Styela clava: one gene and its partner. The protein of the gene in region 2 interacts with the protein of the main gene of each other region in a pairwise test. Links are inferred from orthologs where the notes say so. Each region holds a gene or a part of one and is shown on either strand. Other genes may lie near its edges. The genes, in order: max dimerization protein 1-like and max-like protein X.

Region 1 (17,041 bases), on a different chromosome or scaffold from region 2:
CAAAAAGAAGAAGCTTTAAAAAATATGGCAACGCATATCATTCAAGTGACGATGGATCACCCGCTAGCATGATGGTTTGCAACAGCAAGGAAGAGTTATCAACAATTCACCCACCCATACCGGAATTCAGCTTGGGAATGAAGAAAGGCGACTTTTCGACTGAAAGTGGCGGTCGGTACAGTTTACAAACTACCAATTCGGCTACTCCAGATCATCATCGGGCGTACAAAACATACAATGGAAAACAAGCCGTTCAAGGCACAGTGCGACTGAACGTTGTTGAACCACCAGGCGAAGAATCGAATCGGCCCACGTCGCTTTGGTCCGTTGTGTCATCTGTTGCCGACGGACGAAGCGCTTTTCAGCGATATGGATTAGAAACAACAACGCGGGCTGGGCATCACGGAAGCGAATCACACATGGCGTCTTCCTCCGCCATTTCCCAAGTTGGAGACAGTTACGCATATGCTATACAATCCGATTCTCAAAAAAGCGACGTTGAAATTAATGACACACTACCTGTTGAGGGAGGTTACCTTGCTAGAGATTTATCATGTGGCTCAAAGTCTGCTCTGCTTACATCTCCAATTGAAAAACCCTGCTTCCGATCGGATACATCCGGTTCAGAAACAGATCGTACCGGATCGTCTTCGAGAAGTGACGCTATCGGAAGTTACTGTGTGACAAATAATAAAACAATGAACGTTATTACAAAACTATGATAGAATTAGTTACTAAAAATATTTGATTTTTCCAACCAAAATTGACGTGATTGCTTGATTTATGAATATGGTGGCACGAAAATATGACATTGCGTGCTACTTTTTTATTTTTTGTACCGTCTGATTATGTGATGCCTTCTTTTTGTTTGTGAATTATTTTAAATACCATGTTTTTTACGGACAAACCAGTTGACAGAATATATACTGCTACTGCTCATTCATGAATGAATTGATTTTTGCACATACATCAATGATAAATCGCATACTTTTGGCCATGTATAAATAATCTTGGTTCGTATTTCTGATTACGAGTGCTTGTGACCTTGTTTTTAATAAATATTCATTATACAATTGTTTATTATCCTCTGTTTAGGTATTTTATGCAGTGGGCATTATCCAAGCCAGGCTCAACAGTTGTATCAAAATCTCTGAAACCTTTTTACAGACGGGGCGCATAATTGAGCTTTTTAGAAAAAAAGTTTTTATTTTTGCTACATTACAATTGAATTGGACCCGAATTCTGACTTGAAAATCCAGGATCCATTCAAAATCGAAATAGAATTCAATAAACTTAATACTTATTTTGAGAAAATAGTCATGATCAGTAGTTTTTAAGGTTTGTCCAATCACTTTATACAACGCAAAACATGTTCCAAAAAGTCATTCGCCTTCCTGGCATCTTACAGAACAATGTTCTTGGTATAGATCCGTTAGTCGTGGGCTATTTTTGCTTGTGTTTAAAACCAGGTTTACCATGAAGGCTTTTACCAGAAGAACCAGGAATTCCGATTGGGCATGATCTTTTTTGCAAGAAAAACATTGTGTTAAAGTACATGACTCTAACTTATGCTATCCCAACATTTTCCTTAATGCTGGAGACATTTAAAAAACGTTATGAGAACAAGTATTTACACAAAACACCACACTTGATTTGCTGTACACGTCTTAAAAACGAACACACTGTCTAAAAGGCAGCTCAATATATTTTGGGGATTGGGAATTTACATATAGGCTTCTGCAGGTATAATATGATACCGACCGTTATCTCGCAGTCTCGCGAAACTGCCCGTCTGCTGTTAGATGGCCTACTAACAAACTATTCGGATTAGTAGATTCAAAATTCCATTATGATCAAACAATTCGCATACATAAAAATTTGGATACACCTAGTGACTGAAGTAATAAAACTGAGGTGAACGGGGAATTTTCTTTTAAGTTAAAGTATGCAAATTCAATTCAATTCGTTTATTACTCCAGACCGCCGTGGTCCATATAAAAACAACACAACAAGTAAACATAAGCAAAACAAAAGTAACACAATAAATACATAAAATACCTGATATGACAATCAGATTCACAGTAAGTCTCAAAAAAGAGTTATACTATAGCAATTTAAGAGACCAAAAGTGAGGTATAGAATCTAAGATAGCCCGTAACAAACAGTATCTGGTAATCAAATAATGATAGTAATAGAATGTTATTGGAGTTCCTGCATCTCGTCATGAACAACCACAGATTTTTTCTATGGAGTGCTTCGAAAGAGGGAATGTTCCCAGATACCATTTTGTGACAGACACTATCAGATCTAGAGACACAGTGAATTACGCGATAAGCATTATTATATGAAATTTTAACTTTTTTATAACTATAATTATTGAAAAACAACCAGAGCTGGCAGTTATAAATCCTACAACAATACGTCCTAAATAAAAGATTTTTCACAGTAGTGGAACAATTGACAAATTTTTTCCAAATTGTATGGGCTATAAAATAAATTGATTTATACTGACGATTCAAGTCAAGGTCATCTCTAAGATCACTGGATAGGAAAACACCAAGATATTTAGTGGACGAAACATAAGTCAATACAGAATTACGAAGTTTGATATCAGGCAAATTATTCAGCCTAAACTTTTTATTCTGGATACACATACAAACAGATTTTTTCGAGTTGTACAAGATGTCATGTTCAATAGAGTATTTATCGCATATGTTAAGTAAACGTTGAAGACCTTTGGCTGAAGGTGAAATGCAACACATGTCATCAGCATAAAAAAATGATGGATAATATTGTTATTTGCTACACATCCAATGGTCTATTGATTCAACTTAACAGAAAGGTCATCCATGAAAACAGCATATAAATATGGACTTAATATACTACCTTGCTTGGTACCATTATGAACAGAGAAAGGATCTGACACACTGCTACCCCAACTAACAAACATGGATTGATTACGATACATGTGTACAATCAGCGATAAAAATATTTTGGGGATTCTTCTGTTGATTAATTTACGAAATAGAGTCCAGTGATTAACTTTATCAAAAGCTTTAGTGGCATCCAAAAAAGCTATGAAAACTGGTGATGATTTTTTGGAATAATAAGTAGCTAGTAGCTAGATGCTTTATTGTAAAAATGCACATGTCAGTCTCGTGACCAGGCTTGAAACCAAACTGGTTGTGAGATGTAGTTAAGTAAGACTCAGTGTTATTTGAAATGTGTTTTTCAAAAATTCTTAAATAAGACAGAGGCCACTGCAATAGGCCTGTAGTTACTTGCACTACAAATTTCACCATTTTTGTTTTTAATTACAGGCTGAATAGAACTTGAAAGGAAGGATAACTATGGTTCATACATGTGTTAAACGAAGTCGCTTTATAATGAATTATTAGCCTTGTGTCGTGCCCCCCCCCTTGAACTGCTTCGTGGCCCCCGGTTGAGAACCACTGTAATAGGGTATGAATGCCGTTTTTTTTTATGTCGGTACGTAAGCTATATTAGCATGTAAATTAGCTTTACATAAATTTAATACAAAAACTTACGAAAATACAACAAGGCTAGCTGCGATGCACGTTACCAATTCGCTGCCGTCGTCCATGGCGGGTTATAATAATTTCAACCAAGCTCTGCCATGATATATTCTTTGCTGCAAATTCTATGATGTCATGAGTTTCAGACACGCCCTTATTTCATATTCTTTCGTGTAGGCTACATCGATGAGGACATGCCTTCATTGTGTAGGCCTACATCAATTTCTGATTTTGAACTTGTCCGTGAAACTGAGCGACACTTCACTAGTAAATTATGAATAAGGCGTCGTTCACCTTGGAGGTTTTTCGTAGCAGCCTGAGATATTTCGAAGCCAATTGCAAACACAGCCTAAAACGATATCACACAGAAGTACTCCAAGTGTGCGATATCCGTGACGAAACAAGTGTACTGGGATTTAAGTAAAATCGTCCAGATAAATTTATACCTGCTGTGCATACTGAACATGGAGAGACAGCTATTTTATGAGTTGTTTAAACGGTTCCATTACATTTGAACCCACGACAATTGCACCTATGGAAACTTGCATCTACGGATATTTGAACCCATACTAACCCGAACCCACAACAATTGCACCTAGGTGCATACTATTGCACATATGGAAATTTGCATCTACGGATATTTGAACTTTTAGCACCCGCATATAGATTGCATTGAACCCGCGGATATACGGGTGCAAATTTACGTGGGTTCAAATGTGCCGTCACCGTTTAAACACGAAAGTCTGAACACATGCGATTAAATTTCACACAATTAAAATGCTGTTTCATACGAAACTCCATGATAGAAAACTGTTTCATCGGACCTTCTTCGAACATCTTCACCGCACCCCAAGGATTCGATCGAACACGTTTAAGAAATACTGGTGATACATAAACTCATTACTCAACTCAAAAGAGTATATCTATGTTAGCCTTGAAATTCTATTTCGATTGTGCCATAAATATATTGAACACCCCCATGTTACATCAGATACATCCGTATAAACATACTGTGTAGGATAAGTATGAAAGTTTGGCCACATTCGGAAGAAAGCCATCTGCTTGGCAGTAATCATTACTGATAAACAACATCACTATTTTGTCTGAGCACTAATCACTTGTTGTTCGCTGTCCGATATAAGAACAGTTTTGTCAAACGCATCTCCTCTTGCCACGTCGAGCGTCTAACCCCGTTCGCGGATCTGTTTAGTTTTATTTTCGTTCGTTGTTGAAAGGTTATCGGAAGATGGTGAGTATTATAGTTACTAATCGCTACTGATGCAAAAAGTCAGCTAGATGAGCGAAACATGTGGGATTTTTATGTGGGTTTATTTCACTAGCCAAAGCTGCTGAAAGGAATGTTTGAGGTGAAATAATGTACAACTAGTTTATTGATTTTTTAACTGTCTGGCGCGGGCGTGGAAGGCACGGTGGTTCGTAACACGTCGAAATTTAAAAATTCCCAAAGCCTCTTTACGACATACCATATAAGGCCATAGTTCCTATCATTGTCAGGAGTGAATTTGTATTACAGCGCGAGTGTATTTCAATTCACGTTGGACAAGCCGGAGTTCAAATTGGAAATGCATGCTGGGAGCTTTATTGTCTGGAACATGGTATAGAACCAGATGGTAACATACCAGCACGTTCTGATCCCACCAAAGAATGCAGGGCCGACGATTCGTTCAACACTTTTTTCAGCGAGACGGGGTCTGGAAAGTATGTCCCGAGAGCAGTGTTTGTGGACTTGGAACCAACTGTTGTAGGTAAAATGATAAAATATAAAAGATAACTTGATTTAAAACATACAATCCGTGTCTAATAACCTAACCATTACAGACGAAATCCGTTCCGGCAAGTATCGACAACTGTTCCATCCTGAACAACTGATTACTGGGAAGGAAGATGCAGCGAACAATTACGCGCGTGGACATTACACCATCGGTAGGTAGTCTCATCTAGAGAGTATTTTTTTTTGACGATTATTAACTTTTCGAGAATTTTTAGGCAAAGAACTGGTTGATTCCGTTTTGGATCGAATTCGAAAGCTCACTGATCAGTGCACCGGTTTACAAGGATTTCTCATTTTCCATTCGTTTGGCGGCGGAACTGGGTCAGGATTTGCCTCCTTATTGATGGAGAGACTCTCTGTAGACTACGGTAAAAAGTCGAAGCTAGAATTTGCTGTCTACCCCGCTCCCCAGGTAAGATCTATCAATGTGACAAAAGCGTTATCAGGTCGGCTTTTTTCCTGGCCTTTAATTAGTAGGCTTATTGGATTTGGGTGTTTCAAGGGGCAGTGCCCAATATAATTTTTTTATGTTTTCCAAGGTTTCGACCGCTGTTGTTGAACCATACAATTCTATTCTGACCACTCACACAACTCTGGAACATTCAGATTGCGCTTTCATGGTCGACAATGAAGCCATCTATGATATATGTCGACGTAATCTGGACATTGACCGCCCAAGCTACACCAATCTGAACAGACTGGTCGGCCAAATTGTGTCTTCTATCACTGCATCATTGAGATTTGATGGCGCACTCAACGTAGATCTGACAGAATTTCAGACTAACTTAGTGCCATATCCACGAATCCATTTTCCTCTAGTTACATACGCCCCTGTGATATCGGCTGAGAAGGCGTACCACGAACAGCTCTCAGTAGCAGAAATCACAAACGCTTGCTTTGACCATGCTAACCAGATGGTTAAATGTGATCCTCGCCATGGAAAATATATGGCTTGCTGCATGCTTTACCGAGGTGATGTTGTTCCGAAAGACGTGAATGCAGCAATAGCCAATATCAAGTCTAAACGCACGGTGCAGGTATGTCAAGTGTGTTGCGAATAAGTGGTAGCTAGATATTAATCTTTTTTATATTTTAGTTCGTCGACTGGTGTCCAACTGGCTTCAAGGTGGGCATAAACTACCAGCCTCCGACTGTCGTCCCGGGTGGCGACTTGGCAAAAGTACAGCGTGCAGTTTGCATGCTCAGCAATACGACTGCCATCGCTGACGCTTGGGCACGTCTGGATCACAAGTTCGACTTGATGTATGCAAAACGAGCATTTGTTCACTGGTAGGAAATTTATGCACGTTTGTAGGTAGGATGTAGATTTTTTCAAACACGAAGGCGGATATTTTCAATTTAGTATTTTTTCCCCGAATTTCATTCATGCAAACTTTGAAACGTCAATTCATAACCAGTTTTTAAGATTGAAATGCGATAATAAATGAAGTTTCGTTTCGAAGGTACGTCGGCGAGGGCATGGAGGAAGGAGAATTTTCAGAAGCTCGCGAAGACCTTGCTGCCCTGGAAAAAGACTATGAAGAGGTTGGTGTCGATTCTGCGGCTGACGGCAGCGCTGAAGAAGAAGAGTATTGAGCAGACTTTGAAAATATGCCTTCCAATTGCAATATAAATTGTTAGTGTCCCTATTTAACACGTTCCTGGCATATCTGCATCAGTTGTCGAGATTTTCACGCATTTTCCGAATTTTGTATAGTACCACTTTTCCCGAAACGCTTGTTCCCAGAGCGGACACTTTGATCAGAATACATGCATTTCAATCAATAGACTAAATCTTAAATGGCTTGTATGGTATTAGCTTATGAATGAAATAATTGAAGCAATAATTGTGCCTTTTTCACGCATATTTGCTTGGGAACTATTTTGAGGCGCACGTTGCAGGTGAAATCTTTCTGGAGTCGGGCCTTTGACAATGCGTTTTTTTTGGTGCTTCAATTACTCGAGTTTACGGCTTTCGTGAAATTACCCGTCCGTCATGTCGGTTATGCGCATGGGTTTGCTTTTGAGTGAGTGGTAAGTAGTCGGCGCCCCGAAGTGGGATACTTTCTCGTATCCATAATATTAGATTTTTAGAAAGGGTAGTGTGATATCCCTTTAGCAGTTCTTATTGCGTATGAATCTGGGAAATAAAATCTCGTTTCGGCCGGCTTCGCACGTTTGGAACTTCACTCATCGTTGTCACGATGGGGAAGATAAGCGTAAAGGCGGCTTTATAAATCGGAATTCACGGCATGATTGTCCAAATTCGGTTTATGATGGTAAATGACCTACTATTCGCCATCAGAAACTATCAAACAAGCCAACAGAACTTACAAAATGTTGCTACGTGGCTAAAATGCTGATTCTTGTCAGGTTAGAGGCATCGCTGTACAACGAATTGAACAAATGTGGGTTTCGCGTTGGCTTTGATGGAATTAATAGTAATCGAAAATCGTATTCTAATTGGATTCGGTTCCATTAAATCCTCAAATCATCCCATTGCGTGAAATTTTTTTGTAAGCAAACACTCCACTTATAGCGCGGAAAACGTATGCCATAAAACGGTGACCGTACATTTGAACCCATGTACATTTGAACCCATGCGTATATCCACGGGTTCAATCTATATGCGGGTGCTAAAACCCATGGGTTAGGGTTAGTATGGGTTTAACTATCCGTGAAACAAAAAAAATTCCATAGGTGCAATAGCATACAGGTGCAATTGTCATGGGTTCAAATGTACGTGGGTTCAAATGTAATGGAACCCCATAAAACACTCGGAGCGGACGGATGCCGTCTACAGAACAACAACACAGGCTGATTGGAGTCTTATATGACGTACAATCATCATACACCAGTCAGCTGATTTCGCAGAGAGGCGTGGGTGTCGCGTGTTTGTTTCTTCGTGTTGAGCGACGCGCTCCGCATTGCCGATTTTCTGTTGGAAATGGCGGACAGGGGTTTCAAAATTTAGCGATAGCGACCTTGTGCTCGCGTCTCTCTTATTCCACTATTGTTTAGCAGCGGTACCCCGCCTCTTCGATACGCGTTTAAAAGGAAAAGTAGGCGCAGGCGTGCGAGACATGTGGCCTCACTGGAGAAGAAATGCTTTGAATTTGATTGGTTACCGAGTTTTTACGTCACGATTTCTTTGTTTTTGTGTTTAGCCCAGAGGTAACAACCTGACACGACGAGGTTTAGCGGGCGACCTTAGAGCATTTATAGCAGATTTATTTTTAACGAAATATTTGATTACAATTAGTGGAATAACGTGAAACTATTTTATTAAGCAAGTAACTTAGAATATTGACTGTTAATCATGTTGCGATCAATGAATGCATCTCCGACCAGCGAAAGTGATGACGATACGAAGGGGCTGGGGTTGGAGTTATTGATTGAAGCTGCAAACTATTTAGAGAAATGTGACAGTAAAAGGCAAAGAGGTAATATACTGACAATCAATTTGTGCATATTTTCCTCAATACCATTCATTTTAAATATGTAAATCGAGAAATTACAGACCTTTATCAGATGATATTTTTCAGTTTTCTTTTTTTATTCTCATTGATTATTAGCACATTAAGTTGTTGTTGGTGATATATTCTAGTATTGCATTTTACACTTGTGTGATCAATATCAGTTATAACTATATTTCTGATAAAACTGGAAAATGTACCAGTTTATAAAAGTCACTCACACAGGTCATAAGTCAGTAAGTGCGGTCATTCTATTTTTCTGCACTCAATAAAATTCAGTTTTGATCAAATACATTATCAATATTTATAATAGGCTATATATTGGTGGTATTGTCAAGAAAAGTTGTAAAACTTTTATACACGCATTGATACAGTATTGCAACGTGCATTAGAGCGTTTTGACTATTGCAGTTGTTACAATAAATACTTTCATCAAGTTTTAAGTAACGTATCAAACTATTCCAGAAGTGTCAATTGATTCAGCAAATGTTGCTCAGTTGTTTATGGCATGATGTAATAATTCACATTACAGTACAGCACACTATACAAATCGCGTGACATTGTCCCGTTTCAGAGAAACCCATTTTACAGATGATCAGACACCCCTTCTTTGGGAGACGTCTGGACATTGTTGTCCCTCAATATCGGTAATAATGCAGTATAATGAAGTTGCGCAAAATACTACAAAGAAGCGCACTCTAGTAACGTCATCATTGAATTCCTTGGGAAAAAATAATCCGATTTACAGAAGGAAAAAAAATTCTACCGTAGCATTCGAGAGTTTTTAGCAAAAAACGGCAATTTTGGTCATGTGACGGCCTCGATTAATTTAGATTTTTATTGAAACAAGCATGGCACGATATGAAGCATCTGACGTGGTCCCAGACGCCCCTCGTTTGTGAGACACATAGAGTGTTTGTTTTATTGAGCCAAATGGAGGGAAATTCTTGGAATTTGGATAGTGTGCTGTACTTTAGGTGTAACTTTCAACTTTCTAGGTATTTCTCTGTATTCAGATCATCGCAAGGTTTTAAATATATTTAGCATATTGCATTTAATAAGTATTTCAGCATATTGCATGTTGACTAAAGATTTTGGTTAAAAAATATTTTTGTCTGAACATTGATAAACAATATCGTACCTTATATAGGGTGACTCAAAAAACAGAACCCATAAATTTCTTAATTACTTCTACGAAAATATTTTAAAATCTGAACACGTAACTTCAGTTTGTGTATGATTGTACCCAAAAGTTGTAGTAATCTACGAGGCTTTGCATAAGAATTATCTTCTCTCTCTCCTTCTCTGAGTTCTGTTTTTGGGGTCATACCATATAATGATTCATATTGTGATTGAAAAAGATTTTGATTTTGGTGACAAATATTTTTTTTTATTTCATACAGAATCAGATCATGGATATGCATCAACTTTTAAATACGGTGACGATGAACCGGCTAAAAAACGACTGAAAAGTTCAAAGAAAAGTCAAAGCAGGTATGAATATTGTGATCAAAAATCTGTTAGACTCTTGAATAATATTGAATACGGATATTTGTTCTAGTTATGAATTCAATTATCCTTTTATATCAATTTAACATTTTTGACATGGTATTTCTGAAGTACTATAATGCTCTTTTTGTTTTCAGGACATCCCATAATGAACTTGAAAAAAATAGGTGAGTGGAGTTACTTTAGCCCCATAGGCTGGATTATCATCCGACTATTTAATTAAACCAAGATTTTGTGTTGTGGTAACTTCATTCTCGACTATCCATGTACCGGTAATGAAAATTCATAAATACTGACCTAAACTGATGCATTCATTAAAATTGCTCTTCCCCACCCTGGCATGTTTCAAATATTGAGCAAAGGTTTTAATTGTTTCTGTGATATATGATTGTATTATTTTGATACACAATTTAGACGTGCCCACCTACGAAACTGCCTCGATAACCTCAAATCAATCGTTCCTCTTGGATCTGACTCAAACAGGCACACTACCTTAGGACTGTTGAAAAAAGCTACTTCATTGATTAAGGTTGGTGGAAGAAATATTTTCAATTTGGATTTTCAGAATTAATTCGTAATACTTTTTGATAGTACATATTATAAAAATGTAATTTCCTGTATTTATAGACTCTCTTGCTGTGAAATTATTCAAGTTAGATACAGACTAATTTATGCTGGGAAAACTTTCGCAAGGCTGAAGGTTGTTATGGCTTTTTGGTAGCAGTTTTGAATATGTATGGATGATCTTAAATAAAATAATTATGAAAAATTATCATTCTTTAAATTTGTTAATATTTTAGGACCTTGAGGGGAAGGAGGTTGGTTATGAGAAAGAAAAAGACAAACTCGGCAAATATAATGAACAATTAAAGCAAATTTTATTTCGGTTGGAAATAAAATTTGAAAGACTGCGTCGAGATTCAACCGGATCTACTTCACTGTCTGAGTGCTCAAACGATTCTGATAAAGGTAGGTGTATTTTTGTTACAACTTATTTAGGTTCATAGCAATGCATGCACAACTAGCAAGAAGCGAACAATATGGCAAGCCAACATTTTGAATGTATATACAGACAAACTTCATCAGAGCGATTAATTTGAATAAGCCTTTCAGCAACCGCCTGCTATATTTAGTTTTATATTATGCACTAGTATATACTCCCTCAAGTAGTTTGTAAGTAGACAGTTAATTTTATCAAAAGGTTCTGCTTCCACCATGTTTTTATGCACAACATTTTGTATTCTGCAGAAACATTTGAACATTTCAGTTAATAAGTTTTGAATATTTGGTTTCAGAATGAAACATTCAAATTTTGAAATACTTAACATAAACAGATAATCAATGGATATTTCTGCCAATGAAGCCATAATTTAATAATAAATCAAATAAAAATTGTCTATTATTCTGTCCTATTTTTGTTATTAAATTTTATAACTGTGTTGCTACATATTACAACATCATTCGAAACATTTCTCAGAAGCAAGGCAATCTTATACATTACTGAAATTACAATACCATCTTGCAATGCTCATTGGACAATGATAATTTTCGTGTATCATAGTATTATTTGTTATCGAATATACCTATTGAAAGGATATTTTGGACCGTGTTGGATCACAACTCGCAAGTTCCCGTTTCTTTGTAACACAATTGATGTAGGTCACATGGCACGTCAAGTAATTTTGGTGTTAGTCATCGAAGCGTACAAACGAAGCGTACAAACGTCACACACCTAAGCATATTTACTTAAAGCCACACTTGGGCAAGTCCAGACTTGAGTCAGCTGGTATTTTGTTTGTAATCTGAAGATCTTATTCTCTCTTTTTCGAGTTGTTGCGTGCGTGCGAATGCTATCAAACATTTGCATCACATTGATGATATGCAGTAGTTTAATATTTAAACAGAGTAAGGCTATTAATATTTAGTGCCTTTCATGAGGTCAATTGTCTCTTTGAGTGTGACAAATATTATATCAATGTCAAATAAAATGTTCTTCATTGTAAATTTAATTCTGCGGACTGTGGTATTGTTCAACATTGGAAAAATAAAACTTAGGTTTTTTAAATTTCCCTCTATATTTAATATGAATTGATTCAGAATACTGAATTGCGTATCCCAAATTTTTCCCTAATAATAACATTTTTTGAAGGAAAACTTATTAGACTGAGAAATTCCCAGTAGGCCTACATGTTTTTGTATTTTATCAGAATGGAATTGAATTAAAGATCATTTCTGATCTTATCAGTATTTGAAATGGTGTGGCTATTGACTTTATATGCGAATCATTTTGACTTGTATTTTAACCAAAGTTTTTCAGCGTTCTAATGTCACAAATGCGAGGTTATGAAATTCATTTTTAAGCCTGCACGTTTTCTATTCATTTAAAACATTGCTTTCTAAATGTTTATATGATGGGTCATTATTGATAAATCATGAGATTGGATACCAAATTATCATTGTAGGGAAATTTCCATTATCCTCCACATATTATCAGTAATCAAAATTAGTTTTGTCTCTATTTTAGAGGAGAGTAATATGGCTTATATTGAACTTATTCGCAATGATCTTAACTACACATTGCTTTGACTGATTAAAGTTTTAATGGGTGTAATTCCATGTTCTAATAGTATAGTTAATAAGACTTGGTGATCTAAATTGTTTCTATTTGTTTCTATAGCCTCAACCTGATTAGCGTTTTTATTATATTTTAAATTAATGTAAATTTCTGTATTTTTTAATGAACAGATGAAATTATTGATGTTTTGGACACAAGCTGTAGCAGCAGCGACGAGTTAATCCAAGTTATGACAGCGGCCAACAACGATGCCAACGGTATGCTTATCAGCATGCCTGAAATTTTGATTGTCTCTACGTAGCATGTCTCTCTGATGAACCAGGTCAACATTTTCCTTTTAATCATAAACATTTTGCTTCGTCACTTCCAGTAATGACTACATTTGCGACTCTGATTATTTCTAAAAATAAATATATATTTCTATATATTAATATTATTAAGAAAATGAATTTTATTGACCTTCAAAAATTTCCTAACAAGCGAAAGCTAATTTCCCATGCCCTAATAATATTAGGCAAATTGAATCAGGGAGTTATCCGCTTTTATTATTTCATTTATTGAAATCTGATTTAGAAATTCTTTATGGTTTTGTTGTGCTTCCTATTTACTCTCATTAGGCCAATGTACTTAAATAAAAATAAATGACTATTTGGGGCACGGAATTTATTAGTGGTATATCAACACTTTTCTATATTGCTGTGGTTTTTCTCACATCAATGTATGAATAGCATAGGAGAATAATCTATTCTTCGTTTTTATATGTTGTTGAAGTAGTTAAGATTCATATAAAAACCCTATAAGTGTAAGATTCCTAGGCCTATCATGCTTAGGATTTATTATAATTGTTTTTGAACTGCATATTATTAATTGTTTTTCTCTGGCTGAAAATACTTTCTGTAATTACAAGCTTCGCCATGGAAATGGGAGCTTGCATTTAAAAATTTCATAATATGTATCGTATACATGTCGATACATTCTCGAGTCTCGAAATTCCAAGTACTGTATTGCTTTACAATAAAAATGAATATGTATTTTCATGTCGCAAAGATTTTTTGTTATGCAAATGCTATCGTTATTGCCCTACGAGCGAGCCAACCAACCAACCAGGTAAACTCACCTATCGCCTTTCAAGACATTTTCCACACCAAATGCGGCCAAAGAATCACTGTGAAAATTTGAAAAGAATATATTCAGGCCCATTCAAATTTGTATTGTGTGTTTTGTCTCCAGTTCTAAATTTCTAAATTCAAATTCAAGGGAAAACTGTGTTGAATTTTTGGTGCCTAAATTATGCATTTGTCCAACTGACACTGGCGACACAGAATGTTATTTAATATTCAGTTCCCGAAACTAAAATATCATAAATTGTGTTTATATATGAGTGTATTATTAATATATTGAAAAAAAAAATTATATATATAATTGGTTTTAGGTAATACATATGACTGTCTTGTGACCTGTGTATATCAACCAAAACTTTATTTTTTATATGTCTATTCGGTAATTCACTTAACAATGCGCCAAATTATTTCAAACCATTGGTTCAGGGTTTAACAAACCGTCATTATGCCCAATTTTTTTTATTCTAATCCAAATTTGTGGTCGCATTACAAGTTAACAATTGAAATAATCAATTGGATTTGACTATTGGATCCTTAAAAAAATATGCAAATTAGCCGGCCCCTGTGCCAGCGTAAGGTGTAATAGGCCAAAGTAAATCTATCGCTATTTTATGTAAAGTGTTTTATGAATAGTTGAACTCTTTATTGAAACCTGTTAATGCACAAACCTGAGGATTGTGGATATTATAATTCATTACTATAGGAGTGATCTGTATGCCAGCAGTCATAATATGACCCTCGGGCCTAATTTGGCTCGATGGTAAACTTGAATTAGGGCAAGTGGTTCTGAAAAAAATTCAGTTTTGATTGTGGTTCGAAGTGTTATTTATGTATAGAGGTATGTTTGTAGACAGTTCCGTATATTTTATGTAGAATGTAATCACATGTCAATACATCAGCAACTAGCATATTCATGAAATAAGCTTAGAATGTCTAATTTTTGTTTGGAAAGGTCATATTTTTTAGCTTGTGATGCGTTATTCTTTATTGTAATTCTCTCATTGTTGGGTGTATTTTTCTTATTTTTGTCAAATTTTTTGTACCTGTGTAAAACTTTATCACTACATAATGATACTATTCTGATGTCGTTTTGTAATAATATCTATTTTTAATACCCCTAACAAATAAAAAACTATATGTGTGCGAAATGAAATGTATCTTTATTTTCTCCGTGTTTTATTGTTTTTGTTGTACTATCTTATATTCACAAATAAAAAATAAAAATATAGATTTAAGGTTTGGGGATGTTCCATATCTAAAAGATATACATCCTAGTTTTAGGGGTTCAATTTAATAAGTTCATATTTCAAATGAAGCATGGTTAGGACCTTAGGTACTGATTATTCTGCATTAAAAATGAATTAATTCTATTGTAAAACACCTTGAACAGAATTTTGAAAACTATATATCCAGTATGAGAAACTATATATTCAGTAGGAGAATATGTGAAACACTTGAAAAATTTAAAACATGAATTCATTCTATTATTTGAAATTGCTTCATAATTGTGTCATATGCAAAATTTACTTTAGCACATTTATAAAAACTTCAGATATTTATGACAGAAAATTCTTTCCAATAAAACGTTTCTAAACAAATCTGTATTTTTTCAGATTTAAACCAGTTTTTCTGTGAAATTTGTTGTTCAATTTTTCAGGCATTCCCACCCGAGACTGTCAAATAAGCTATATAATTATCTTGCCATAATAACTGTTGATTCATTTTAAATCCCCAAGCTCAATTAACCCAAAAAAATTTTCAGTCACCATGTTTCAATTCTTCTCCTTTTATTTGGCTAATACTAAAAATTCTCGGATATCCACACATGTGAAAAAGTCCACTGTTGATTAAAAATTCGCTACAGTTAACAACACACCTCAAAATCTTTTTTGATTCTGAAAACTCTCATTGGTAAATGTGAATTATTTGTAACAAAAATAAGAGATCTTAATTCAGCATAATTGTTATTTCAGCAATGTGGTCCCATCAACTACATGTAGTATTATTAATAATTGTGAAGCTCCAACAAAGATTCTATAAATCGGGCTTATCATGATTAGACCTATGGATATATGATACCCTGTAAACAGCATCTCTTTTGAAAGCTAAGTATTGAAAACAATAGGATGTCTACATGCTTACCCGTATGGTATGTGTTCACAAAAGTGTCAACTGTCAAGGTTTCTCGTTATAGGCCTCTAATATATTTAAGTATTTAATTTTGGGTCATGCAAAACCAGGTAAACTTTTTGAGGATAGTTCTTCAGTTAAAATATAAAAAATTTAGGCTTATGGTGTTTGATTATGGGCTAATTCAATACAATATCAGATTCCCTTATTCTTAACAATAACCCCATTTTGGTTAACAAAATATAATTATGTGAATTCTAAAAATTCAAATTGATATTGAAAATTTGGCCTCCCATGTGATTGTGAAGAATCCATGTGACAAAGATTAGAGTCATATCATATGAATATGTTATTATGACCTACCCACTTGCTGAACTGAAAATTGATTTTACTTTTTAATAATGGCAAAAGCAACTGGATTGCTATTTTTGAGATTAACCCATGCAGTGAAGTATGTGTGAAGCCTTTTTGTTGTTTTCTGTTTTCCTCATTTGTTTCGCTCTAACTTTACAGCTGTGTGTACTAAATTCTCACCTGTCTGTCTCCTTATGATCTTAACTTTTTTTGTCATTTTCTTCTCATTTCTAGTCCTGCATAATCTCAATTACACTTTTTTATCAGTTAAAATTAAATAGGAGTAAGATTACTTTGCTGAATCTGAAACTTATTTTTGTGAAATAGGTTTTCACCACTATTCATTACTATATACAGTATATATATTTTGTATCGTGTAAAAAATTTTCCGCTTTGTTATGTCATTGTGCTTCTCTGTCAGAAAATATTGTATTTGTGTAAATCTGATCATCGGCCCCTATCTATTAAGCCGTGAATAAATATGAATGAAGTCAGTGGAACTTTTTTGATGTTATTCATAGTATCGTAATTGTATTTGTGTAGAAACC
Region 2 (15,989 bases):
ACAAAAGCGACAAATTTTCTTTGCGTTATGATGTTATTTGTTTTCTTTTCACGCCTAACGTATCGTTTCATTTCCTTATTTTGCAAAATAGGTCCTCACCGTTGCTTTAATTTATGAACGTTCTGTAAACTATAAACGTATGACGATGTATTTAAAAAATCGGAAATTCTCATTGCCGTCTGTAACAGTCACCGCGATTACGCGCTCGTTAAAGAGACGTTTTTTCAGCGTATAATGATTTTTCTGTTGCGTAAAATGATCAATCCATGACAACTACGGGATTCCAAAATGTCTTCATATATTAATTTAATTATGTCAAACGTAACTCGCGGTTGCTTCTTCTTAAGTCAAAATTAAAACACCACTTCTCTGAAATGCCACGGCGATCTGTGGACATAAAAGTATGAGATAAACTGCCGGGTGTATTTAATTTTAATACGTATTTTTGGAATCTTGCGAACTCGTTATCGCCGTTAGAAAAATCTCAATAACTGAAATAAAATCCCGTAGAGTACAATTTCAATTCGTACAATGAAAATACATATAAAGTATATCGTTTAATCAATAATACATATTCATCGCCGCGATTAGGCCACTTGATAAAAGAGCCGACTTTTGCAATGAATATTGAGTTTTCTGTTGTGCAAAGTAATCAATTTGTGACCGATAAGGGCATATTTAAAATGTCTTGCTTTATTATTGTCTTCAATTTAACCAGCGGTTGAGTCGACAAAATAAAATCTTCACAATTTTAAAATACGACGGCAATCTGCGGACATAAAGTGTGGTAAAGTGCTCGAATATATAAAGCTTTGATTTCCTTATTTTCAGGACTTCTAACATCAAAAATTCCATAAATTTGCTGTAATATCTCAGGTTAAAATTTATTTTAGCACAATAAAAATTGATTGAATATACATTAGATTGATTATCTTATATATATCATCACAACCCGGGGAAAGTTGTCCGTTTCAAACCTTGTATAATGTTGAAAAGAAAATTTTCGACGGCAATTTAAAGTAATGGATAATATGGCCAATCCCACCCACATTTAACAGTGCTTCGATTTTAGTGATGATATGTTTCCTAAACGCCGGCCAAACATAATGTGTGCGAGAGGCACACGAAATTTTGCGATTTTCAATGTCAAAAAGGGGGTTTTAAACTGTCGCAGGCCTCAATAAAACCCATATTTAAAGTTTTATTTTCAGTATTTTATATTGCCGCTTTTCAATCAAAAAATTTGCGTTGTCCTCAGAAACTCGCCGCCGATGAACGTATATTAATTAAACTATCGCAATTCCGTGTGTGTACATAAATAAAATAATTATCATCGTTAACGTCGCACAACATTGTGGAAAATTTTTAATTTAGAGAATATAAAACCAACATAAAGTTGTTTACGGCCTAAATACCACGTCACGCTGATAATAACAATCGGCGATTATAGCAAAATGCTATTGCACGCGTTATTGGCGACTTTTAGTTTTAAAAAAATTTCAACGGCAACGCACGGGTATACCTAATATATAAAACTTCGATGTCCACCGACCCGCAAGAATTAATACTTTCAAAAAAATGAATCGGGCGGGAATACAGATTACGAACTTTAGGATCGCGGCGACAAAAACAATTAGCGATTTTGATGAATTTAACCAGTAAATAAAAAACGCTTTGTTGTGGATTTTTCAAAGTTTCTTCTAATTTTCGAAGGGAGTATCGACCTCCGACGGACCCCCATTGTATTTAAAAAAAAATTTCGTTATTCGACTATTCGGTATTCGTGAAAAATATTCGAACTATTCGATTCGAAAAAAATATTCGATTTTGCCCACCCCTAGTCACGGTCTCACGGACCCCTGTTTATGAATCTTACGGACCCCCATCCTTACAATACAATTGACATTAATGTGATGGATGAGGTTGCTTTTCACTGCACAATTTATCAATTGTGTTGTGACAAGCAAACTAATAGGTCTGACTCTATCATGTAGAGTCGTTGCAAGAGCCAATAAAATTTCAATTGCCTTTTCTGACAGCAATGGATATTCTTCCGCAACTCTCAACAAAATATTGAGATGGCTTTTTGATTGAAATCAATCATTAAAGTTCAATCAGACTCTTTTCATATCGTTGCGGACCCCCTGTGCAGTCATCAGTTTGGGACGCTAGTTTGGGAAACCGGTTTATATCAGGATGAGATTTCAATATTTATCATAAAGGAGTGGACAGATATCAGATCAACTAACTTTGCAATCATTTAATCTAACAAGAGAGCTATGCTCAAATATATGGACACGTAGCGCCACCCAATGGCAATAATTTTGATGACGTCATAGCGAAAAAAAAAGTAACAGCCTTCTGGAGAAAAATTTTATCTTTAACCACTGGAAATTTCAAAGCAATTGGTCCAGTATTCGAAGAGAAAAGCGATTTTTTAAAAATGGAGACGGAGACAAATAACAATAACAACAAAATTTTGAAACGATCGTTATGTCCACTTCGTGTCCAAAAAGAACTTTTTAAATGACTTGTAAAAAAATCTATGTGTCTACCTCTTCTGGAGCATTTTGTGGTGGTTGAAACTTTTTCAGAACTTCCTCAGCCAGAACAGACATGTATTCTCCTATTCCAGTAAACATGATTGCAAACAAAGGAATTCCAATTAAAGCATAAAATATGCAAAATATCTGACTGTACCATTGTGTTGGGGCAAGGTTTCCATAACCTGAAAATATAGAATTACCGTAATGATTAAAACTTTCATTGTCCGTATGAGATTTGTAGATTTGCATTAAAAGTTAAATATTTTAAGCACAAATCAAAATTACCTTCCTGGTTGGGAAATGCTGGTTTAAAAAATGTTTAACAAAGTGTTTGAGAATCTGACAATGTTGGTATAACAGAATAAAATAATATCGACATTTTCAAGATTTATAATTCATAGGTTGTGAGAGCAGAGTTCAGATATTTTTGAGAAAAATAGTATAAATTAGCAAATCATACCAATGGTTGTGATGATGGTTCCTGTGAAGAACAATGAACTTTGAAAATCCCAATTTGCTGGACATTTGACATTACCCTGCAGACTAATACCATGACCAGAAAATATGGTGACATTCTAGGAAATACAATAATAATAAACGTGAGAATGAAATTTTTTTATTTGATAGGTGGCACAGCCACAAAGAGTTGCACGGAATGTTCCCAGCTCTTTCATCAGGGCAGCTACAGATGTAGCGTTACCAATAACAGAACTGGCCCAGTGGCAGGGTTGAAGGACATAGTTGAAGACCAGCCTGGTATTTTATTATCTGATTTTTTTTTTTAATTACAAAATATATAAATAAAACAGGATTTTCTTTGAAATATTTCGAATTACCTACCAGCAAAGCTTATCACTTATGTATAAACAAGCTGAACAAAACAAATGAATTATAATCGGTGGACTAAGTACCAATTATTTATTACTTGAGAGCCCTCTGGAGGTTCACACCTAAAAAGCCTGCATACTATGTAATATTACCCTGAATTTGCATATTTTACGGTCGAAATATCTGAGTTTTCAAAAAAATATCCTTCCCGATGGCAGGAATTTAGAATCAGGCATTACTTAATCAAAAGCCTCTAAAAGCACAAAAACACTATTATTCCTGAGTTGACGATTATGGCAATATTACCCAAAAACTTTTTTTGTCATGTATATTTAGCCCAAACATAAACCATATATGAATTGAAAAATTTTGAAAGGCAGTATGCTCACCAATAATAATAATCGCAACATATCAGGTAAAGCAAAATTCTTCTCTGAAAAGCACTACTATGAACATTCATACCGATAACAACAATAAAGATATACTCTCTATAAAAGAGCTGATATTAAGAATGAATTTTGTAGTTTTAGAGTCAAATTAACATCTAACCTTAATAAACTTGTTTAAAGTTTCTTCTGTAAAACCTTCATTATTACGTGTTTGATTCAACCATTTTTCTTTAAATTGTTTTGCATCCTTGCATCGTTGTTTTTCCACTGGTCTTTCCATAGCCATGAATACCGCAGCACCAATAATCATATACACAAAATAGAATACAATTAATAAAATCAAAACGCGTATTCTCATCAACATTCTGAATTGGGTTATCCTACCACATTTGACATGAAAATTAACTCCGTAAGTACACTACATTTCCCGATCGCAACTGCCCATGCATATTGTCTATACTTCCATATGCTGCACTGACTAATTGTTTCGATAACACAATGATAGGAAGCTCCGCTTCTGGTACATAATTAATTTGTCTAGAAATGCTATTGTCAGTGACGTAAGAATTTTTGTGCATTGCGCAACATTCCAACTTTTACAGTGGTTTTATGAATTAGTATAATGCATAATATGAATTGATAAGCCAACTACATTTTTCTTTCCTCCATTTCCACTTATCCTTTAATTAAATGCACATCACTACAAAATGATCACAATCATAATAATTGTCCAATAAAGTACTGTACTTTCTCCTTAAGTGATTTTCCAGAAAACCACGTCACAATGATGGAACTGTACCTTATCTCATTATAAGAAAACAACTTGCAATTTATAAGTCGTAAAATTCAAGCAGAATGATATATTACTTAAACGCAAGATTATATTTGTGATAATTAATACAAAAAATTAAATCATTATTAAATAGGTATTTAGGCACACTACATTTAAGAACATTTTCATCAACAAGAAATTATCTATTGTAAATCATATCTTGAAGAAAGGGACTCGATATGACAAAAAATAGCATGAAAATCATTATTTCTGACAAGTCAACTTTTTAAATTGGATCAACTCGAAAATTAAGGAAATATGACTCGGGGGATTCACAGACTTCTACACAAACTGGTAACCAGGATCTTCATTTTTTTTCAGTAAATATAATTATTTTTAAGTGAAACTGGTGAAAACGTTTGCTCGGTATCAGTATAACAAAGTCAATAAGATGCAACAAGATTACATATTATATGCTTTTCCTGTAAGAAAATGAAAAGGAAAGATCATCGCAATTGTGGATTCAACTGCTTTAAAGTATCGATTACAATATCTCGTAATGATTGTGGAGTACATTGTTCTTCAATCCAACTAAATACACAATGGGACAGTTCTTGAAAACTAGCCACGGATATTGATGAATTAAATGAAACAAAAAGAGTATCCATGATTCTTTGAAATACTTCAAATTTTACTTGATCTGACAATTGGTGATTGGAGTTTGCTGGGTTTGATTGATGAGCTTTGACTATTTGCTCATAATTTGATTTCATAATCGATAAAGATTGTTCTTTTTTACGAAGTTTTTCCAAATCTTCTGTCTGTTTCTTTCTCTCTTTTTCCAGATATTCTATGTAATCAATTGATCTTTGAAGCATAACAGCCTTGCTGACTTTTTGTGATCCTACGGTTTCTGAGTGAAGTTTGGGGACGAGCGTTTGAAGCTCGTCATATCCTTTCTTTATGTTGTCTCTCCTACGTTTCTCAGCGAGTGTGTGAGCTTCTCTTCTTTTTTGCCTGTATGCGAAAAAATAACTACATGATCGAGGAAGTTCCGCTTTGCAATAAATAGTCGAATAGTCATATTTTTCTTTCCCAAATCGATGAAGTTTACATAAAGTACAAAAACTTTTTCTGCTACGTTACATGCATTGTTGAGTAAATGGAGTGAGTATATGGAAAATTGACTCTGACAATAATTCAACTCTGATTCTGGTTTGCAAAAAATTCCCATTCCGATCCCAGAAATAAATTTTTGGTGTAAACCAGCATCTTTTATTAATAGACTGTCAGTAAAATAAAATGAAGAAATTTAGACTTATTTTATCACCATTGAAATTTTGCAATTCCGACTCTGAATCTGGGGAATTCAGAATTTTGACACCTGCTCTAGAGAAAATATGGGGAGCTCTCGACTCCGCTGCCCTGGTTACATGTATATAGTTATCATAAGCTATTGTATCACCACATTTGTGGCAGTATGATCATGTATAAACAAACTATAAAATGTTCATTACCGTGTAATGTTACATTATAAACAAACTAAATTATAAATATAAATACAAAAGTTTACTATTCGAAGATGTAACTATAAGTAACATAGCAATTTACCTGAACTTGAGCGGGCGTTCAGAGCTGTCATCATCTTCATCATCTGTGTTATGAACTGACGAAGCAGCACTTGATGGATTAGAAAAATGCAGACTTGAACTATGGTTCGGAGATGCCAAATCTATTTCCAACTTGGCACCATCAGAATCGCTAATCTGATCATAGCTTGAATCCATGAAACTTGATGAAGCAGACGAAAATCCAGAAGAATTCATGACTCATTTAAAATATCTATCACTACAGTATAAAAATTGTCTGTAGTCTGTTGCTGTATTCAGGTATTGGAAACGTAACACAATAATCTGATAATAGAATAATAAAAAAGGTTGCCGACCAACATATTTTGCATAATACCGTGTTTCCCCGAAAATACATAAATAAGACCTAGCCTGAAAATAGGATCTAGGCTAAATTTTAAAAATAATTTTAATATAAAAACCTAAAATAAGACCAAGTCGATAGCGCGAATTTTTTCTTAAATAAAAATGTGTTAGTTATAAGAAAATGAATATCATTTTCATATTTTTCATATTTGAAAATCTCGTAATTCTCTACTTTGTAATTTTGTTTTCGAGGAATAAAAATAAAAAACCATCCCCCAAAATAAGCCGTTATGTTTCGTAAGAAAATTGAAATAAGACATGGTAGCAAACCGCCTTACAATATGGCACACTTACAGACTTAGTTGATGAGTATGGTACCAAGAAGCACTAAATTTAGATCAAGGTTTCTACTAACAACGGGAAAATTCCCCAATACAGCAGTATGTTGCAGTAAGAAAAGAAATTCACTGTTTTGGAAGACTGGAAGAGGAAATATTACATTACATATTTATTCACACATTATAACTATTACTGTATTATGAGCAATTCAAACCTTACGGCAGTACGGTACAGTTATAAAAAGTGTGAGTGTTAATTACGCATATTACAGTATTCAGGTATTTCTAGCCTACCCAACTTGTTTTGTTAAATTTCTCCTTTCGCAGCTTCGCCTTTTTTGGAATTGTTTATTCTTCCCTCACTCATTCACTGTTTACTCTTTCCTACCTAACGAGGAATTCCTCCCGGTATGCCTGTTGGGAAACGCAACCCAATTCAACTTGGCTAGTACGATTACATAATTGGAAACAGGTTAAGCACTCTCGACCGCCATTCCAGGCTGCAGAGCAACTATTTGCTGGCTAAGGAGAAAGGGCAGCATCGTATCTTATCGTTGCGCCACAGGCGGCTGCCTTAGCGCCGGTGATAAACCGATTGATTTTAGTCAAACCGTAAATGTCAAACAACAACCATCTTCCTGGAATTTCACACAAAAATCAATCATTATTCAGTTTATCAATCAATGTGAAAAAATACGGGATATTTATTGAGCGATATTCGTTTTCAGTGTTTCAAAAATGAAAATATGAAACATACATAAATATATGGAATACAAGCAAAAACTTAAGTTACCCTTTTTATCAAATAGACTACTCCAACTTTTGACATTGGATATTTCATCGCAGTAAATGATGCAACTAAAACATAATAAAGTAACCGAGAAGTCAAGCATAGGCGCTATCTATGTTCACCACTTCTGAATTTCCTAAGCGATGAAGTTATAGACTACTTTCATTCAAGGCGATTTCAATCATTTTACTGAATTTTATCCTATATTACAGCCACATACTATTCATGATTTATCAAAAAAAAAAAAAATTATGACATCACAAACGGGAACACAGCTCCCTTTTTGTCGATTTTTATGAATGAATCGATGACGTCATATGATGAATGCTACGCATCGAGTCATACAGTTGTTACGGACGCTGTTTGAAGTAAACTATCACCAATACTGTATTTTAACAGTATTTTCTGACAAAAAATGGCCGTGATATTCGAAATTACGAATGATTCAGCAATCAAGCAACGAACAGTTGGAAGTTTAGTGATCGTGGTTCTGGAGAAGTAGTGAAATACTGAAAATAATCAAGTCTTTTATGTAGGAATAAAAATAAACAATATGGATTCCATTGTTCCTACTCAGTCGTTGCAAGCTATATTTACTCCAATACTATCACAGGTGCAGTGTGAATTTTCTGTTTTTTAGGATCCTGTATAAATCCAAAAACCCAGAATTTTAAAGTATCAGTGATGAGCAGTGTTTGCGAGGCTTGAGTCATTGACTCGAGTTGCACTCAAGTGACCTTTTTTAAAAGATTTTAAGTGACTCAGGTCCTCTAAATATAATGACTCGGACTCGTCATCAGCTAACCATCAGTAAGACTCAGTATTGACTCGAATCAAGATTCCGACCCATGATTAGCAACTTGGGGTTTATGGACTTTTACCTCACTTCATCACCAATGGGAAAAATGGTTTGAAAAAGTACTGATTTAGTCCTGTTGTTACTGATTTTCGGTTAACATAGACATTAATACTTTTCAGATCACTGAATTGTTGATTGTGACATCTGAAAAATATGAGTCAGAGACATCAGGAGGGTCGATAAATATTTTACGACCATTGGTTTCTATGTCAGAAGACATTGTTGAGAGTTTAAAAGACTTGACAACGGTATTCAGTTTTGTATTTAGTGTCATTGATTTGCATTGTGATTGCAACGACTGCTATATGTCAGCGCCCAATGTGGCAAATTTCATGTCAGATCTCCAAGCCATTCTCGCGACTATCACAGATTTGATTTATCCTTTGTCTATCGTCAGATAAACTTCTTTCCTATTCGTGAAATAAAATAAATTTATTCTGTTAAATATTAACGTAGTTAAAGCATTTCGAAGTTTGACAAGAGTCATGAACAAGGCATTCCTCGAAAGGTTTTATTAAATCAATTATGAAATCTTTGAGTTGTCATTTATTAGAGATAGGGTGGGTGTTTCAATAGTCATGTGTAGAGGAACGTCGCAAAGCAGTTCAACTTTATAAGACCAACTATATAAGACCTGTGCCTAAAAGTATTGTAAGGCACCAGGTTTTTTTGACTTAATAGGTACCTAATACTGGATAATAATCATTGGTAATGGTTTGTATATTTGTATTTTTTATATTAATTAAAAATTTTTTAATAATTTCCTGTAGGTTTGCCAACAAACTGTGACACTGGAATATGCGAAGGATAATGTTGTAAAGAAAGAAATAGATTGTGGGTCTCAGAATCTACTTGTTGCCGGAGAAAGTTTAGTTCTGTGTTGTCATGTATGTTGTTTTATTATTGTATAGGAACTCTATCGATTATATTTCATTGCCACACTTAAATATGTCAAGAAGAATCCGCTTAAAAGGAATAGTTTTTAAAAAAAAGATCATCTGATTCTGAATCGTCGTCTTCAACATATTGAGAATGTAACTGCGATTAGTATTAGTAATGTCCAAAAATTGCATCTGCAAAAAATTGGAAATATAGTTTGAGAATGGAACATAATTTTCAAAAAAATCAGATAATCAAACTGAATATTTTTGTTGTGGATGTTATTAATAGATACAATTTATGTCAAATTTTACGAACTATAAATTAGGATGTATTTTTAAATAATGTAAGATTTTTTGCAGTATTGAATGATTTTCCATAGAAGTGTAGAAGTCATAATACTGAAATCTGATTGATATTATTTCTACAGATATTGTGTTCGGCTACAAAACCTGATTACCAGCTAAAAACACCAGTTCCTTATCAGAATGATGTTCCTGGATGTCTTTCTGAGTTGAATCAAGTAAGTTTTTGGCTAATTTTGCTCTATCTACCGTAATGGTTGTCTGAGAAAGTGAAAATTAAAACTTCTGGTATTATATTAATGCACTCAGGATGAAGTTTTTATTTTTTTGTGGATATTCGCGCAAAGCGAGTTTGTGTGCACTCGCAGAAGAAAAACGAGACTGATATCCAAGCAAAATTACGAGTGATTACATAACCTAAATTTTATGCTTGTATACAATTGATATTGAAAAGCTTTCGTAACATATTATCCCTTCTTTGTTGCTGTGTTCAATAGCCAATATATTATACAACATACTACTGACTGATACATAGACTGGCATCACTTTTTTAATGGAATCTCATTTTGTCACAGTGTATGATGCATTTACTTCTTTCTATTGATGATGCTGAAGTTCGAAAAATTGCAAGTTATGGTTGGTCCACTTCTGAATGTCTTGCAACTCTTGCTACTGCTGACACATTGCAAAATTTGAATGGTATGTATGTATGGTTATTTGTATTCACATATATAATATAGAGAGGAAACACAGAAATATGATACAAATACTCAACTCGGCGTATATGACTCGACAAGCACATGATTGATCCAAGTATTGGGAATACATTTACTATTACACATGTGATTACCCTGTGTGGGATCGTAGGTTCAAATCTTGTAAGAGATAATCATATGCGAGAAGATTGTTGGACTCCTCGCTGTTGTGGGGTGGTTCACATAACCATTTGCCAAACAAATACCTAGTTAATATTCTCCTAAATGACACTACTACTAGTAACCGGACGGGAGTCCGTGGTTTGCCATATGATTAAGTCGTCATATAAATAAAATGTAGGATAAATGTGAAAATTCTACAATACACGACATTGCTGAACTAAGACAAAGTTTTACGATGTGTAGTTCAAAATTGGTGTCGCTTCTTTAGTATGCTCGTTTTATTGCTTTTTTCAGTTCATGGTGCATACAAGATTTTTGATATTACAAATAAAAGATTATGTTAATTTTGAGATATCGAAAAATTCTAATACTTACGGTAAAAGTAGAATAATCACATCAAATATGTTTATTCATATTTCAGATAAGTTCCGAAGCTTTGCTATTCCTGCAGCTGATCTCCACAGAGCTGCAAGTGCAAGATGCAACGACTTATTGGATGATAAATTACAATACAAATTGAAATGTTCTTTGTCAACTTTAAGACAATCTCTTCCCATGCTAACAGCAGCGTTGCAAATGGCAATTAGATATCCCGACAATGATGAAGTATTAAAAGGCAGAGATTTCTGTGTAGAACAGGTGAATAGATATAAAAATTTTATGTGTTGACTAATTGACTTCTAGGGTTTAACTTCTGTACCTAATTATACCTGCTGTTTTATATGTGGCACAAGTCAATTCATATTTATCCCGGGGTAGAAGAGAGTCGACAGGATTTCGCCGTCATAGAGCGAAGCAAAGTCCATGTCGTATGTATACTCTTTTCAGATACATGGACTTGATAGTGAAGAAAGTCATAATGAAACATCAGTTGAAACATGAAACATCCCCCCCTCCTCAATGACGAGTAATCCAGCAATCCCGATTCTCATAATTATTCCTCACAATATTTGAACCTACGAATCTTCGATTATGGTACGATGCTAGTGATGTTTCAGTGTCGGCTTGTAAGTCTTCCATCGGTAATATATTGGGTTAGATAGGGCTAAATATCTTGCTTTGACTAAACTCACAAGAAGGATATTATTTTCCATGATACTATAAAAAGCAACAGGAACAGCTGGGTGTGTGGGAATTGCACACAGTGAGAGTTCTTTGAAACATTAGTTTGTTATATAAATTTTGCGGATATGCCAAAATCTTTGTAATATGTAGATGAGGATTATTTTAGTAGAATTTTTTTGCTCTGTTTTCATAAAAGAAATATTCAATTTTATCAAAGCCTTAAATTTTTGACTGAAAGTTATTCATCTAGATTACATTAAAATTGAATGTGAAAATTAATACCTGAAACCTAAGCGAATAACGTATCTTGTAATATATTACCCAGCAACCCAATTTGGGTAATTTATTTTCAGGTCCGGAAAGCAATCGCAGACATTGTTAAAGTTATCACAACTAAAAATATTCGGAAATCATTTTTACCTGGTACGAAAATTGGTTTATTTTATGAAAAGTTGAATGAAATCAAAAAAATGTTGTCAGCAGAAAACAGGAAGAAAATGAATTTGATGAACCTGCATACCAGTGTTGAAGGTTTTGTTCAATATGCCATGGATCTTTCTTTGACTTTAGTGAAAAGGTGAAGTATTTTGTTCAATACAGTTGAAATTGATTTTTTAGTTCAAGGTCGTAATCCAGAAGGGCAAAACTTGAAAAATCTGGTTTTAGAAAATAAAAAAACAAACATGTTTTTTTGATTTATTGCTTTACGCTATGATTAGATATCAGCCTTAATATTTTCAAATAATAATGTACAATCTGTAATCTTGTATTTGATTTCATCACTCATTTTATATTTTATTTTTTTTACCAAAACTTATGAACAAGCCAACATTTAGTTTTGTAGAACACTCCGTTGAAAAAATAGGGGAATCAATAGAAAAAACTGTGACAGCATATTTTATAGAATATTATTTTCATATTTATTCCGAGAGAGAGAGATGATAAGAAGCCTTATTCATATGGGAAACCTCAGCTTGTTCGGTCCATGTTGGATATCGGAATAGTTGCCCTGTTATTTGTCTTGGATGCATGGACTTGATGGTCGGGAAAGTCGCAAATATCTGGTGGTTATGTGAACCACCCTACGTCGTCAGGGAGTCCATCCATTCTTTCACACATATTTATTCCTCATGGGGTTCAAACCTGCAAAATCACACAAGTCAATCAGATGTGTATTTCTAACGTTTCGCATGATGCGCCAACTGCCGAGCCTGACTATACAAACTATTTTTGACCAAAGATTTATTTACAGTTCATCTCCACTTGAATTGAAATCCAATGCCATCGTGACCTCCTGCAGAAAAATGATGCGATCAATGCGTGACTTGGAGAAAGCAGATGAGGCATTACACACTCAAACTTCAATAGAAAAAAATTTGCGACAAGTTCATGATGAAAAGTGCATGTCATTGAGTGCCATCTCACAGGGCACAGTGGCAGCGATACTTCATGCTGTTACGGTTTTGGTAACGCATATATTTAGAAGTATGGATGAACCACTGGTAGAACTTATCGATAGTTGCATATCTCCTAAAACGATCACACAAGATAGCATGGACAAAATGCAACAACATAAAGAATCAGAAATTGAAAAAATAAAAGAGTTGACAAAAGTATTTTCAAAGCATACTAACGATATAACAACAGCCGCAAGGTTTGCTGCATCGTGCAGTCAACATGCAGCAGTTTATCATAAATATTCAAAAGTTTTGTTCAATTTTGATCAAACTTCAAGGGCAATCATTACAGCCACTTCTCAGTATACCAAAGACAAGAAAGACGAACCAAGCGAGGCTTTGACTCAAAATGATAAAATTTTAGATCTTCAAGACAAATGGATTATTGTACTCGGAGATCTTATTCATCTTATTGTTGCATCTTTGGATTTGAAAGGATTGCTGGATGTAATAGTGGATGATGTTGTGAGGTAGGCGGTTTCAATTTATTTGTTACACAATGAAAATTTTGCAAAATTAAATTGAACCATTTTCGATCGAGTATGGTACATCAAAATAAATCATGTTTTTCACAGTTGAGAAAAGTCAATAATTGGGTTATCCATATAATGGAATATCCATATTTGTCCCAGGGAGAGAAAAGCCAAGATGGCTTAATAATATGAGAAACCATGGCTTCTTGTTACCATGGTTACCAGTCCATGTCGGGTATTTGAATAGGTAATCATTTCTTTGTTTCAGACGCATGGACTAAATAGAAGCCATAACGGGCCAGCAGTTATGTGAACCACACAACAACGTCGAGGTGTTCGGTAATCCCCTCACACATAATTTTTCCACAAGGGATTCAAACCTGCAAACATGCGCTGGGTAATCAGAGGTGCGATAGCATGCTAGTTAATAACGCTTAGTATGGTGCACCAACTGCCGGGCCATATATATATATATGTTAAATAACATTCTCTCATCTAGTTACCAGTCAGGTGTTGGTCTGGCTAACAATATCAATTGACTTCGATGGTGGGGGTGTTCGTTAAATAAACTACTCTGCAATAGCAACCTCAAACGTCTGCAACGTCAAACCTCTGACTAATTAAGACATTTGTATCCATACCGCATAATCAAAAGTTGAATTTTTGTAAAATGCAAATTGACAAATTTAAGATAATATCATTAATATGTTTTCGTAGAAAATAGATTTTAACACAAAACTAACTTCATAAAATCAATTTTTAGCTCACTTGAAAAATGCACAGAAGGAATAGTGAATATGAATGAAGCACAGGTTGCAACAAGTCTTCAGAGATGGATGGGAAAATCACGGTTTTTAGTGAGAGTCGCAAATGCAGTGGTATCTTGTAGCACCGAACCTTTATACAGAAATGGAGTTCTTTCACATGTTAAGACTCTGAAGCAAGTAAGGAATGAAATAATTGATTTTTTTTTTACTTTTTATATCCTATCTTAAAAAATGTCACTCAAATGCTAGTCGACTCAAATGGAAGTGTTTGAGTAACAATGTTGAGGAGGCTAGACTAGTTGAATCAACTCGAGCTGGACTTTAGTATCAATTTATCAAAGACTCAAGTCATTCGGACTCGTCATCTAATAACCAGCAGTGAGACTCAAGGCTCAGTACACTCATGACTTGACTTGTGACTCGAATTTGAGGAACTTCTACCCAACACTAATGCATAACTGTTATTCAGTATTGCATTATACAAAGAGCAACACTATTCTTACATTATAAATTACTGTATTTTATGACCCATAAGGTGCACACAGGTTATTAGGTGTATTGTCAATAAATTGCATAGATTGAGGTTTTGTCCAAACAGGTAAAATCCACGTCTAATAAAATGTTTCACCTAATATTTTCTAAATTGCGTAATATAACTAGAAGCTATTTGAGTTTTCTTATGCCATATTGCTTCCTAACTGATATTACTACACTTTGCCAGCATATTGCAAATTGTATTGCTCGTGGAAATCAACTCATAGAAGATATTGGTCGAGTTGAAGAACAAGAGTTATTTTCAAATTCAGCTGATCATTTATTGGAAAGTATCAGAGCAGTGTCTGAGGCAATTTTGTCCGAAGGAAATCATCCAGATTTAACGAGCATTAATAGAATGAATGTGAGAAACGAAGACACAAGCCAAACTAATTGTAAGTGAATTTAAATAAAAGATACTGGAACAAATTGCGTTGAACTAGAATATAGAAGATTGTTTATACAATTAATAAGAGAAAAATGCTTGTCATAAGGATTAATTTTGAAAAGCGCAATGTCGGAAAAAATATACCAAATGCTAGAAAATTGTAGCGAATCTTTCAAGAAATTATGCCTTGATTTATAAAATATTGGGGAATATTGGGGCCCTGTTTAACTCTAAGGGAATTTAAAAAAAAATACATCACAACAATAACAAAAATTTAACAAATTGGTCTACTATCGGTCCACTTCGTGTCCAATAAGAGAAAGTGAAATGCCTTATCGCCGGTGTTGAGTAGAAGTCTCGAATAAACCCAGTGTCATGAGTCAAATCGGTCATGAGTCATCTGTGTCGAGGAAAACACTTATTTGAGTCTCACTTTCAACTAGTCGAGTATGACTATGAGTCATTTCATTCGGATTGCTTGAGTCTTTAGTAAATGGTGACTCAAGTTCAACTCTAGCTACCTGGGCTTCTCTAACCTCGGATGAGGGCCCCATAATATACCCCATCATTTTGAATCTAATTTGCTTCTTTATAGCTGTATTAAAAGAAATGATGGCATTGAATGAGAAGTTAACTTCCCTGGGATTTGAACCCATAACAGATGAAGAGCTGGATGTTTCGTACCCTGTGCCAACTAGTAGCGAACCAGGATGGCCAAGATATTATTATAAAGATGATCAACAAGCCCAGCATCAGGAAAAAATGATTTCATCAACAACTGACGGTG

The links.
Region 1: the proteins of max-like protein X (region 2) and max dimerization protein 1-like interact in a two-hybrid assay, tested with the Homo sapiens proteins (2 studies listed by BioGRID and IntAct). The link is inferred for Styela clava from reciprocal best matches to the Homo sapiens genes MLX and MXD1.

Annotation. Positions count from the first base shown.
Region 1 is NC_135257.1:12,294,340-12,311,380, forward strand, and holds the start of max dimerization protein 1-like, read left to right. Parts: upstream 1-8,116; 5' UTR 8,117-8,647; coding exon 8,648-8,771; intron 8,772-10,207; coding exon 10,208-10,298; intron 10,299-10,450; coding exon 10,451-10,480; intron 10,481-10,727; coding exon 10,728-10,842; intron 10,843-11,113; coding exon 11,114-11,282; intron 11,283-13,058; coding exon 13,059-13,189; 3' UTR 13,190-17,041. Other genes in the region: neuroligin-4, Y-linked-like, read left to right, coding at 1-722; tubulin alpha chain, testis-specific-like, read left to right, coding at 4,783-4,785, 5,071-5,302, 5,376-5,480, 5,544-5,740, 5,868-6,365, 6,425-6,618, 6,792-6,924. UniProt on the Homo sapiens protein: Component of a transcriptional repressor complex together with MAX. In complex with MAX binds to the core DNA sequence 5'-CAC[GA]TG-3'. Antagonizes MYC transcriptional activity by competing with MYC for MAX binding.
Region 2 is NC_135253.1:16,285,693-16,301,681, forward strand, and holds max-like protein X, read right to left. Parts: upstream 6,707-15,989; 5' UTR 6,362-6,706; coding exon 6,147-6,361; intron 5,553-6,146; coding exon 5,042-5,552; 3' UTR 4,706-5,041; downstream 1-4,705. Other genes in the region: uncharacterized protein LOC120326434, read right to left, coding at 2,556-2,728, 3,007-3,121, 3,924-4,127; uncharacterized protein LOC120325823, read left to right, coding at 8,151-8,210, 8,576-8,704, 9,227-9,343, 9,766-9,858, 10,216-10,339, 10,940-11,157, 11,937-12,160, 12,836-13,510 and 3 more. UniProt on the Homo sapiens protein: Transcription regulator. Forms a sequence-specific DNA-binding protein complex with MAD1, MAD4, MNT, WBSCR14 and MLXIP which recognizes the core sequence 5'-CACGTG-3'. The TCFL4-MAD1, TCFL4-MAD4, TCFL4-WBSCR14 complexes are transcriptional repressors.